Sus scrofa: one gene and its partner. The protein of the gene in region 2 interacts with the protein of the main gene of each other region in a biochemical or structural test. Links are inferred from orthologs where the notes say so. Each region holds a gene or a part of one and is shown on either strand. Other genes may lie near its edges.

What was found.
Region 1: the proteins of CLTC (region 2) and TOM1L1 form a complex in vitro, tested with the Homo sapiens proteins (2 studies listed by BioGRID and IntAct). The link is inferred for Sus scrofa from reciprocal best matches to the Homo sapiens genes CLTC and TOM1L1.

What each region holds. Positions count from the first base shown.
Region 1 is NC_010454.4:31,261,859-31,267,915, forward strand, and holds part of TOM1L1 (TOM1-like protein 1), read left to right. Parts: intron 1-1,425; coding exon 1,426-1,531; intron 1,532-2,234; coding exon 2,235-2,316; intron 2,317-6,057. UniProt on the Homo sapiens protein: Probable adapter protein involved in signaling pathways. Interacts with the SH2 and SH3 domains of various signaling proteins when it is phosphorylated. May promote FYN activation, possibly by disrupting intramolecular SH3-dependent interactions.
Region 2 is NC_010454.4:35,904,107-35,910,163, reverse strand, and holds part of CLTC (clathrin heavy chain 1), read right to left. Parts: intron 5,483-6,057; coding exon 5,337-5,482; intron 5,102-5,336; coding exon 4,918-5,101; intron 4,746-4,917; coding exon 4,553-4,745; intron 3,962-4,552; coding exon 3,804-3,961; intron 3,603-3,803; coding exon 3,438-3,602; intron 3,311-3,437; coding exon 3,203-3,310; intron 2,926-3,202; coding exon 2,758-2,925; intron 2,485-2,757; coding exon 2,335-2,484; intron 2,250-2,334; coding exon 2,118-2,249; intron 2,001-2,117; coding exon 1,890-2,000; intron 722-1,889; coding exon 551-721; intron 194-550; coding exon 1-193. UniProt on the Homo sapiens protein: Clathrin is the major protein of the polyhedral coat of coated pits and vesicles. Two different adapter protein complexes link the clathrin lattice either to the plasma membrane or to the trans-Golgi network.

The DNA.
Region 1 (6,057 bases), about 4.6 Mb from region 2:
GCTTAGTAAAGGACCACAATTTCAGTTGCTGAGCTCAGAAACTTGGGAAAGTCACGCTTGCCCTCTACTTACCTTTTACCTGCAACATGTATCTATTATCCAGCCACTTCTCACCCCCTCCATTTCACATCCGGGTCCAAGCCATCAGATGGCTCGTGCAGTGGCCTCCCTGAGGGTTCCTCTGCCACAGCCCTCACTTCCCTCTCCATCCCCTCCCCATCACACAATCTTGTCTCAAAAAAGAAACCAGAGCAATCTTTTTTTTTTTTTTTTTTAAGGGCCACACCCACGGCATATGGAGGTTCCCAGGCTAGGGGTCTAATCAGAGCTACGGTTGCCGGCCTTTGCCACAGCCACAGTAACAACAGATCTAAGCCATGTCTGCGACCTACACCACAGCTCACAGCAACACTGGATCCTTAATCCACTGAGTAAGGCCAGGGATTGAACCCACAACCTCATGGTTCCTAGTCGGGTTCATTTGCTCTGTGCCATAAGGCGAACTCCAGAAACCAAAGCAATCTTTTAAAAGTAAAGTTCATATTATATTACTCATCTGCTCTGAACCCACCTACGATTTTCTTCCTCACTCCACTTTATTCAGTAAAAACCTGAAATGCTGATCTGACCCCTCCCATTACCTCTCCAGCCTCACCTGTTGCCTCTCTCCCTTGGCTTACACTGTTCCAACTGCCCTGGCCTCCTTGCTTCAGAGTGTATGACCTAGTGTCCCCTCAGATAATCACAGGGTCCACATCAGACTCAGAGCTTTGCTCAGTGTCCCCAGGGATGAGGCATTCTCTGACCACAACTGTCAGGACTGTTGGAGCAATATCCCACCCCAGCCTCTTCTCCTGTGGCCCAGCTTATTCCTGAGAGCACTTGCCATCTGCCACCTGTTTACATTTGTTGGTTATCTGCTCCTTGAGGGCTGGGGTTTGGCCTCTTTTATATACTGCTTTATTTATAGAGCCTGGTACATAGTAGGTCCCCAGGATATAGCTTTGAAATGAATAAGGAAAATTACAAGGAGATATTTCTTACTAAAACTTTACTCTTTATCTGTAAGTTTTGATATCTTCACCTTATGCTTTTTTGTAGCTAATGTTTTTTGTCCTCCTTGAGGCTGAGGTTTTTATATTCAGTGTGGAACAAGAGACTCTAGACTGAGCCTTACATTCCTATTTTTTTAAGTTTATATTTTATATGGGAAATGAGGTGCAAGGGGCATGAAGCCAGACAGAAAAGTAGTAAATGTTGTAAGGGGTTGTTACCTAAAAGCTAAAATAATAGTTAATAATTACTAATTCTTAGCGAGTTGAGAGTATATAGTTCTTGGAATCATACCACTTGGAAGTCTAGGAATCTAATAAAGAAAAGCTTAATATAGAATGTTTATTTAAACATTCACTCTGCTTTCTTTAGTTTCCAGAATATTCAGATTCATTATTACCACAGCCAGTTAGTCTACAGAGCATTCCAGCAACATCATCAAACCAGAGACTGCCGACCTTGCCCAGCAATCATCCATGTACGTGACACTTTATTGTTTGCATTGAATAAGGAAACTTGTGAGGATATATGGATCTGCTAGGGATTTATTGGTAATTGGAAACATACAGAGAGGAAAAATTAGAGATGCATTTGCATTTTTAAGCTCCATGAGATAAATTCAGGGCAGATATGACTGACAATAGGGGATTGTAAAAATGCTTGTTTTACACTGAATATTATATTTTGAGTGAGTGCTGAGGTAAATGAACCTTTAGTGGAAGTTTGGAAATCTTTTTGTTAGATACAGGTTTTTTGTACTTGGAAGTAGCATTAGAACAGCAGTGTGGGAGTTCCTGTTGTGGCTCAGGAGTAATGAACCTGACTAGTATCCATGAGGATGCTGGTTCGATCCCTGGCCTTGCTCAGTGGGTTAAGGATCGGGGATTGCTGTGAGTTGTGGTGTAGGTCGAGGATGTGACTCGGATCCTGTATCACTATGGCTGTGGTGTATGCTGGCAGCTACAGCTCTGATTCAACCCCTAGCCTGGGAATTTTCATATGCTGTGGGTATAGCCCTAAAAAGACAACAACAACAGCAACCAAAAGCAGTCTGCTTATGTCTGGTTGTCAGTGTTTGTTGGGATCTTTCGTTTGAAGTCTAGCTCATAAAGAGAATGTTGATTTTGTGTATCTCTTCAAAAAGCACAGTGTGTGTTTTCTGGTCATTTTGTTGCCTATAGCAATGACAAAGAATGATCTTCAGCCACCCAATTACTACGAAGTAATGGAGTTTGATCCCTTAGCGCCTGCTGTCACTACAGAGTAAGTCATTTACAAAATGATTTCTTTCTTTTTTTTTTTTTTTGGTCTTGGTTCCCTGGTAGCAAAGCTAACAGGGCTTGGTTATACATTCTTTTTAAGGTTTTGGTAGAAATCAATGACCTTATTTAAAAATGACTTGAGTTTTTGTGGAGGCTCTTACTGGTCTTGTCATTCTCCGCCTTGGGACTAAAAAATAAAAATGCTGGGGCTGCACATGAAGAAATAACCCGAACTCTCATGTGCATTAGTGCATTCCTCATAGGTACCTGGGCAGAAAGTCAGGTTCTTTACAGCTTGAGAAGAGAGCTACTCATGGACTGGTAATATAAGTACCACATTGAGGGGATAATTTAATTGTTCTTTGACTAGTGCTCTCATATAAGAGCTTGTTTTTTAATTCTCACTACCTATGACAACAATATGTTTAAAATGGATTATTACTGTAAAAATAACTTTAACTTGAAATCCTTAAACAGCATTATTTTATGATTTCATACTGGTCAACTGTATGTAAATATTTATGATAGTTCCCATCATGGCTCAGTGGTTAATGAACCTGACTGATATCCATGAGGACAAGAGTTCAATCCCTGGCCTTACTCAGTGGGTTAAAGATCCGGTACTGCTACGAGCTGTGGTGTAGGTCACAGGCTCAGCTCAGATCCAGCGTTGCTATAGCTGTAGGCCAGCAGCTACAGCTCTGATTGGACCCCTAGCCTGGGAACCTCCATATGCCATGAGTGCAGCCCTAAAAAGACAAAAAATATATATATTTATGGATGGTAGGCTCAATAGAGCTGTAATGTACTTTGATTGACTGAAGTTTATCCCCCCAAATTGTATACAATGATTAAAGCAAATTTATGGAAATCATTGTTTAGAAACCAGCAGCCTGCAGGCTATAACTTGCCTGCAGCTGTGTTTGACCTATCTGAATTTTAAATATGCATTTGCAAATTAATTCCCAAGAGTTAAAAAGTGAGATATAGTAAAAAAAAATATCTGGACCTCTGGATTCTTTGGGACATGACAGAAATGCCAGGCCTGCATTTTTACATGCTAACAATAGCCTGGGGCTTTGTAGTAGCTGCCTCTTTAAGACAGGTAGATTCTGAGGTCCACCAGGCCCCACCCGACCCCCTGCATCCCTTCATCTGATCTGCCAGGTACATGAGGCATTTGCTACACCCTCAATGTAGTGATCCATTTTGGAATGATTTATGAATAAGTCTTAATAGGCTTAGGAGTTCATTAAATATTTTTTCCTAACAGGATTGTGAAATTTCCCTAGGTCATTCTGCTTGATAAAGTGTCACTGAATATACTAGTGGTTTAAGAAATTAGAAATTGGGGAGTTCCCGCCATGGCTCAGCGGCTAACGAATCTGACTAGGAACCATGAGGTTGTGGGTTCGATCCATGGCCCCGCTCAGTGGGTTAAGGATCTGGCGTTGCCGTGATCTGTGGTGTAGGTCACAGACATGGCTCAGATCTGGCATTGCTGTGGCTGTGGCGTAGGCTGGCGGCTACAGCTCCAATTCAACGCCTATCCTGGGAATGTCCATATGCCTTGGGTGTGGCACTAAATAGACAAAAAAAAGGAAAAAAAAAAGAAATTAGAGATTGGTTAAACTAGGTATGCTATCTGTAAACTATGCTCTTATCAGTTCTGCATCCAATAGGAATATAGACTATAAGGAGATATTAGGAGATTCTTGTAATATGGAGGTGCAACAGATATTAAAAAAACAAAGAAGAAAGAATTTCTACTCCAGCAGAACACAGAGTGCAGTACTTATACATACACATGATTCATTCATTCGATAAATGCATTGAACATTGACTGTGTGCAAGAGACAATGATCAATGCCTAATTTATCATGTTGAACATCTAGTTTGGAGGCAGAACTTAAATCACCAGGCAGACATGGATTTTACAACTTGTGTTAATGGTATGGAAGATGCTGACAGTATATTACAGAAAGAACTGATTTAAATGAGGGTTAGAGAAAGCCTGGGGAAGTGACATTAAGGCTAAGACCTGCAATTTTTAGTATGGTGGCAAGTTTGGGAATCAGTGTTGCAGGCCCTGGTAACAGTTTACACAAAGACCCTATGGGGAGAGACTTTGGCACATTCAAGGAAATGGAAAAGCCAGGGACAAAGAGAGCAACAGGGAACCTGTTACCAGATGTGGAAACTGCCATTTGGGAATAAAAAGAAGAGCATGCATAACTATGATGAACATCGCTGAAGAAAGATGAGGTCTGAACACTAGATAAATCACTGGTGATTTCAGTAGAAGCATTCTGGTATATTGATAGGGACAGAGCCAAATTTCAGTGCATTAAAAAATAAGAGATGAAGGGGACATATGAGACATTTCTTAACTTCCTGCTCAGTTTTGTTGTGAATCTAAAATTGCTCTAAAAAATAAAGTCTGTTTTTAAAAAAAAAAAAAAGTCAAATTCTTAAAGTCCCACAGACTTTTTAAGGGACAAACTGTTAATATCAATAAAAAAACTTTTGAGGAGTTCCCATCGTGGCGCAGTGGTTAACAAATCTGACTGGGAGCCATGAGGTTGCGGGTTGGATCCCTGCCCTTGCTCAGTGGGTTAGGGATCTGGCGTTGCCTTAGCTGTGGTGTAGGCTGCAGACGCGGCTTGGATCCCGAGTTGCTGTGGCCCTGGCATAGGCCAGCGGCTACAGCTCCAGTTGGACCCCTAGCCTGGGAAACCTCCATATGCCGTGGGAGCGGCCCTTGAAAAGGCAAAAAGACAAAACAAAAACAAAAACAAAAACTTTTGAATGCAAAAAAAAAAAAAAAGTAAATGAAGTAGATGCTAAGTGCACAGGTTATAACTTATGCAGAAACTTAAACATGAAGTGATCATGGTAACTGGTCTGACAGGTAGAGGATTATTGAGGTGATTAAGTAGACATGGGATTGAGTGTATTATTTTATAAAACGGGAGATAACTGGGATATCTATGAATTCTGAGGGGTAGGATGTAGTAGAGAATGAGAAGCTGAAGATTCAAGAAGGGAAACACTACGCTAAATGAGTATAGTATTTGAAAAGTGAGGGGTAGAGAGATAGGATCACAGAAGTAGATCATGGTACAGATGAAAACAGACTTGAAGATCTGGTGATGGGAACCTGAGGTTTCTGACTGACAGGAGAGGGATCAGAGATTTGAGTGAAGAAGGCTTGAAACAGTCTTGTAGACAATGAGAGACAAAACTTACAAAGAAACATTAAAATGTCTGGACCATGCTGGGTTGGGGCCTTCAAATGTGTATGCCTTCAAAGTGCTGTATTTTTATGAGATTTTTCTTTTTTTAGCCATGTGTTGCTATACTGTGTATATTGATACCAGTATTTGTAGATACATTTTTGAGCTGTGGACATACGTAAGACAAATATAAAGAATTGAATGAAGGCTCTCATAGAAAAATTACTATATATAGGGAATTCCTGTGTGGCTCAGCAGTAACAAACCTGACTAGTATCCATGAGGAGGCAGGTTTGATCTCTGCCTCTTCTCAGTGGGTCCAGCCATTGCTGTGAGCTGAGGTGTAGGTCACAGACACAGCTCAGATCTGGCATTGCTGTGGCTGTGGTGTAGGCCAGCAGCTGAAGCTCAGATTAGACCCTTAGCCTGGGAACTTCCATATGTTGCAAGTGTGGCCCTAGAAAGATCAAAAAAAAAAAAAAAAAAAAAAAAAAGAAAAGAGAAAT
Region 2 (6,057 bases):
TGAAATAGGGCATGGCAAAATCCATGATATTGTGCCTCCATGCAGTTTCCAGGACAACATCAGGCCTTAGAAGATCGTAACAGGTAAAAAGACAAGCTCCAAAGCACTCCCTTTTTTCTTCTTGCAAAAACCACTGTAGGAGTTCTTCAGCCAATTCAGTATCTTTAGATTCAGAGGCATACTGCATTGCATCCTATTCAAAGGAAAGGATGAAGGTCAAACATTAAATTCAAATACAATGAACTGGTAAACCAAGTAACACAGTGAGGGGAAAAAAACTAGTTAACATTTAAATTAAGGGTTTTCTGAAAGGAAAAGAAAAGATGGGATAAAGCAGCCTTTTTTTAAAAAAGAGGTTTGACATAAACATAAGAATCAAGAAACTGACATAATTACCATCTCCTCAAATGGGAGCTTAAAGGCAATTTTCATATTCGTAAAAACTAATACTTTTATAGACCCTAATCACTCGTAAAATATACCACTTTAGGGTTAACATAGATCATCCAGTACTTGGCTTAAGAGCCTCGCCCCCACCAACTGTATTCACCTTGTACAGACTATCTTTCTTGCACAGCTCCACACTCTGTTTCCAGCGATTGTTGCCTTTGAAGAGATAAGCAGCAATTCTTCTGAACTCAATGAGTTCATGTTTTTCCAAACGCTGAGCAAGCGAGATATTGTCAAAGTTGTCATAAGCATCTATTGAGGTTCGTAGAGCCTTAAAAAATAAAACAAAGCCGTTCAAATGCCAAATCAGCATTTCATTTTAAATTTTATGTTCCACTATTCTTGATCAATGAGCTATATTATATGACTGACTGTATATAACATGATCAATATCTTCTGTGATACATGTGTATAACATCACTTGATCGATGAGTCATTATTGTAATACAACAGCCTAGATGCAAGCCTCAAACCACAAAGTTGTAATCTGAACAAGTAACAACATTCTTCAATCTAACTGTTTAATAATAAAGTCCTTGAAGGTACTATAAAACTTCTAAAGGCACACTCTTCTCCAAGTTTTCAGTATCAAGGACTAACTTGAATGGTAATGAAACTGGGAGGATTTGTAATTTGGAGGGTAAGACTTTTAGGCTCTAGGGAAACTTCTGATACAATTCAACATGATGCTCAGTCACAGAGATGAGGATGGGACCCGAGTCTTTCTATAAGAAAATCATGTTGACTATAAGACAAAGAAAAGGCATTCAGCTTAAACTTAAACTTTATTTTTGCAAAATCCTTCACAAGGGGAAGTTTACTAAAAGACAACTACTAATATGGTATTGGGCAAGGAAAACAGTGTATTTAATAAAGTATAGTTAATACCATGTAAGTTTTATGGACTGGTTGAAAAGATTAAAGACAATTTCAACTCGATCTACAGATTGATGTTTGGGAATGAAGTAACCATAGTATTTTTCAAAAGCATTAACTTGGACAAGAGCTAAGCAAAATTGTGCAAACTTGGCAGTTACTTAGGAGACATCAGATTGATCAATTCTGAAAACTTCACTAAATTTATTTATTTGTGGAATAAATTTATTTATTTATGGAAGTTCTCATGCCAGGGATTGAGTCTGAGCCACAGCTTCAACCTATGCCACATCTACAGCAACACTGGATCCTTAACCCCACTGTGCCGGGCTGGGGCCTGAACCAGTGCCTCAGCAGCAACCACAGCTGCTGCCGTCAGATTCTTTCCCCACTGCATCACAGGGGGAACTCCAAAACTTCACTAAATTTAGATTCAAGGCACACAAGCACCTCTTGATACAATCCTAAGAGAGATATGGGCTTTTTTACTGCAGAACATGCTAACTTTACAACTCAGTGATAGCCTGAGTTTGAGAATATATACAAGAACCAAGACAACTTACCTGATAATCTTCTTCTGTAATAAAGAGGTTGTTCAGTGATTCATTCACAGATTTGTTGTTGTGGTTTTGGACTGAACGCAAATACGGTTTCACCAGTGGCAGCTGTTTAACCTTTAAAATAATGACTTTGTTAGAAATGCAGCACATTGCTAAAGTCCCATGGGCAAAAGCTACCCAAGTATGTCTTAGTGCCTTGCTATGAAGTTTTGGGGTTTTAAAAATAATTACCTTGCTGAAATAATTGACTGCACGAGTATGATCCAACCGTGGAGACAGCACCATCAGCAAATCATTTAACAACAGCGGCTTGAATTCTAAGTAGAACTGTATTGCTCTGTAGTATAGTTCCACATTGGCAACCTAAGACAGGAAAAATCCATACATAAGAGTCATTTCCATGAGTTTTCTTTTTCTGAAAACTTTATCTTCTGATAATGGTACACACCTTGGTAATGATATCTTTGAACTGCCCTTCTTTCCATGCATCGGTCGGATGATTCATCATGGTAATTATGGCATTATCATATTCTTCATACTTGTCATACAAAAATACCAATTCTGCCCAAAGATGAGCTTGTTCTGCAGCTCTTAGCACCTGCATAAGAAAGATTTAATTGCTTTAGCTATGGGTCTCTAATTCTAGTTAATAGAAAATTTTTTAAGAACTTAAAGTATTCATGTGAGAAAAAGGAATATATATGTATGTGTAAGTGTGACTGGGCCACCTTGCTGTACAGGAGAAAACTGACAGAGCACTGTAAACCAGCTATAATGGAAAAAAAAATAAAAATCATTAAATAAAAAAATTTTTTTAAATTAAAGTATTAGTTTTAGCTATAGAGCTGCCTTACAATTAAAGGTTGGTTACCTTAGGAATATTCACTCTGGACCAAAACAGCTCCAAGTGCTCCCTCATTTTCTGTGGCTTAAATTTAGAATACAGAATAGCTAATTCGGTAAACATCCCCATATGAGCACGCTCAAGTCCCAGTGCTGCTTCCAACATGGTTATCAGTTCTTCAAAATATCCACGATCCTAAAAAAGGGAGATACGCAATTAAAGATGAGATTATCTGTGGCAAAAGATCTCAGTAAGTAAAGTATTACATTTAAAATAAGTAGACAATAAGGTCCTACTGTATATCCACTCTCCTGGGATAGGCCACGATGGAAAATAATATAAAAAGAAGGTGTGTGTATATATACAGGTATGACTGAGTCACTTTGCTCTATAGCAGAAACAGGCACAATATTGTAAACCAACTATAAATTTTTAAAAAGCTCAATTAATATGAAAGATTCAAATTCATTACCTGATAGTAGTTAATAAGTTCCTCCAATTCATCTGCATGTACTACAATGTGAAGCCCACACATCTGAGCGAGACGGAACTCCTTCCCATCTACACACGCGAAGCAGACCTACAGTGTAAAAAAATTGAATTATGTGAACTCAAGTGCAGATATGACTGGTTAATACAATTAATCAGTTTAAAGAACATTCCTAAATAGGATCTTAATTCTTCATTCAAACTGTTGTTAAGATTACCTCTTTCCATGTTCGAGTACTGTTAGCTTTCCTAGCTCCATCAACAGCTGCCTGATATTCACCCAGATGAACGAGAGTAGATGCCAAGCGTCCAAAATTGGAAACATTATTGTATAACAACTTAGCAGCATCATACATTTTTTCATCATAACAACGGTCACCAACCTGAAAAAAAATACAAACTGTTTTCAGTAAGCCTAAACTTAATCCTCTTTTTCAAAGTTACAACTCAATATAATACTGATAAACAGTATTTTTCCTTAGAAACTTCAGTTGTCACATGTTGATCCTACTGAGCTAATAAAATTGCTCAACTATTTTTACACTCCTTTAAAAGAAAAAAAAAAATCTGAACAGGAAACCCACTTGTTGGATATGAGCGTTATTTGGCCCATTGATGAATTCTTCTAACTCCGCGAGGCGGTTTGTTTTAGCCAGTGCAAATATCAATTCTGTCTCCACATAGGACTCACGAGCCTTCTTACGGGCCATCTGCAAGTACTTCACCAGCTCTTCCCAGTTTCCTAGGTATAGAAAAACAAATATATAAATCCAAACACTAACACAGTAACATTTATCTTTCCACTCAAGTAAATGAGAATTGCTACTAATTCCCTTCACAAGGGAACGGTATAGAGAATAACAAATGTAAACAGTAAAATGCATCAAAATAGTGTAACTTCCATTACACCTCTGTATTATTACTGACCAAATGAATAGCTGAATCCCCTTTATTCTTAAAGCTAAAAGCATAGAACTAGATCAGAATTTTATGAGACTTTAAAACAGAAAATTAAACTTTCCCATTTAGTTTTTTTTTTTTTAAGTGGCTGCACTAGCAGCATATGGAAGTTCCCGGGCAAAGGACTGAGGCTGAGCCATAGCTGCAACCTATGCCATAGCAGTCGGATTCTTAAACCAGTGTGCCACAGTGGGAACTACCCCCATGGAGCTTTTAATTTCACAAACACAGCCTCCCTTTACCTGCACTAGGATGGAGGGCAAACAACCATGAGGTCTCTAACTCCTACATAATTCAGAATAGACATGTAACTTAATGCTTAGCTAAGGTACATTTTCTGAGGTGGCAAACACGTGAAAGTGTGAAACCTTACCACTAGTATTGGCAGCCTGAACAACTTCCATGTAGGATGAAGGATCATCTGCTTTGATGTAAGAATCAATGGCTTCTTTTACCATTCCTTTCTGCAACTGGGCTTTTGCAAGCTGACTCCAGACTGCAGGTTCATTGCAGCGTTCAGCAAACTCATAAGCCCGGTCTAAGTTTCCAATGTGTTCAATCAAGACCTAGGCAATCAATTTTTAATTAGAGTTACAGTCCAACAACACAGTTATGGATTTTACTGCTCATCTACTGCCACAGTAATAAATTATGCCCATCCTCACAGGACAATGCATACAGTGAACCAAAGGCAGGCATTATCTGTAGGAAATCAACTCAGGCAATATGAAGGTTTACCTGCACTGCTGAAGTATTGACATCAAATTTCCGAAAAATGGCAAATGCTTCTTCAAACAGCTCATTGCTGATGGCAATATTGGCAATATCTGGGGCATCGTAATTATCCAGGCGGTTAATATATTCCATAACACGGGTACGGTCAGCTTTGATTGCAGTGAGGATCAGAAGATTTTGCAGATTCCTTTAAGAGAAAAGATTTGAATGAAATGCTTTAAAAGCTCGTTAGTCATAAAGAATAAACACTGCAGCTACAGAATTTTTTGTCTCAGGAGGTAGGGTGAGAAGAGGTTATTACAAGAGTGAGAATTTAAACAACATTCTCCAATCTTTGTCTTTTTGTTCCTTCTCCAAACTGACAAGCCAAAATTAAAGACTGAATATAGAGAGCCAATGGATGGACCCCTCTCACAACATACCTGTGTTCACTGAAGACAGAGTTATCAAGGACAATTTTCTCCAGCAGTTCAATGAGTTCATTAGGAAGGTCTGCAGTCATAAAAGCCTTGACAGTTACTGACACTTCTTCAGGGTCCTGAGTCTCAGACAAGGCTGTCTGTACAACCTACAGAGAATATATAAGGAATGAGTATTGAGAGTCAAGGTGGTTTTGATGATATTATCTAGTAAGAATAAGCTGGCCTCCCAGTAGAAAACTTGAAACAGGTAGATAAAAATGAATGAAATAAAAATACCTTTAAATTTACCACCTAAAGGTCTTTCTATACAAATCCATACATACCCATAACATATGTACTTCCACTCTCTTTTAAAAGGGGGGAAAAAAATCACCCTCATTATATAATTTCTATCTTCTCCCTGATTAAACTATTAGCCACAATAACCACTTAACACTTTTATGGTTTCACATAATTCAACCATACAGATATGGCGTTCATTATATACTCAGTAACTTCTCTATTTTTGTCTATCTGCATTGTTCCCAGATGTGGTAATAAATATTTTTTCTAGGGAGTTCCCACTGTAGTACAGCAGAATAGAATCCAACTAGGAACCACGAGGTTTTGGGTTCAACCTCTGGCCTCCCTCAGTGGGTTAAGGATTCAACATTGCTGTGAGCTGTGGTGTAGGGTGCAGAAGCAGCTCGGACCTGGCGTTGCTGTGGCTGCAGTGTAGGCC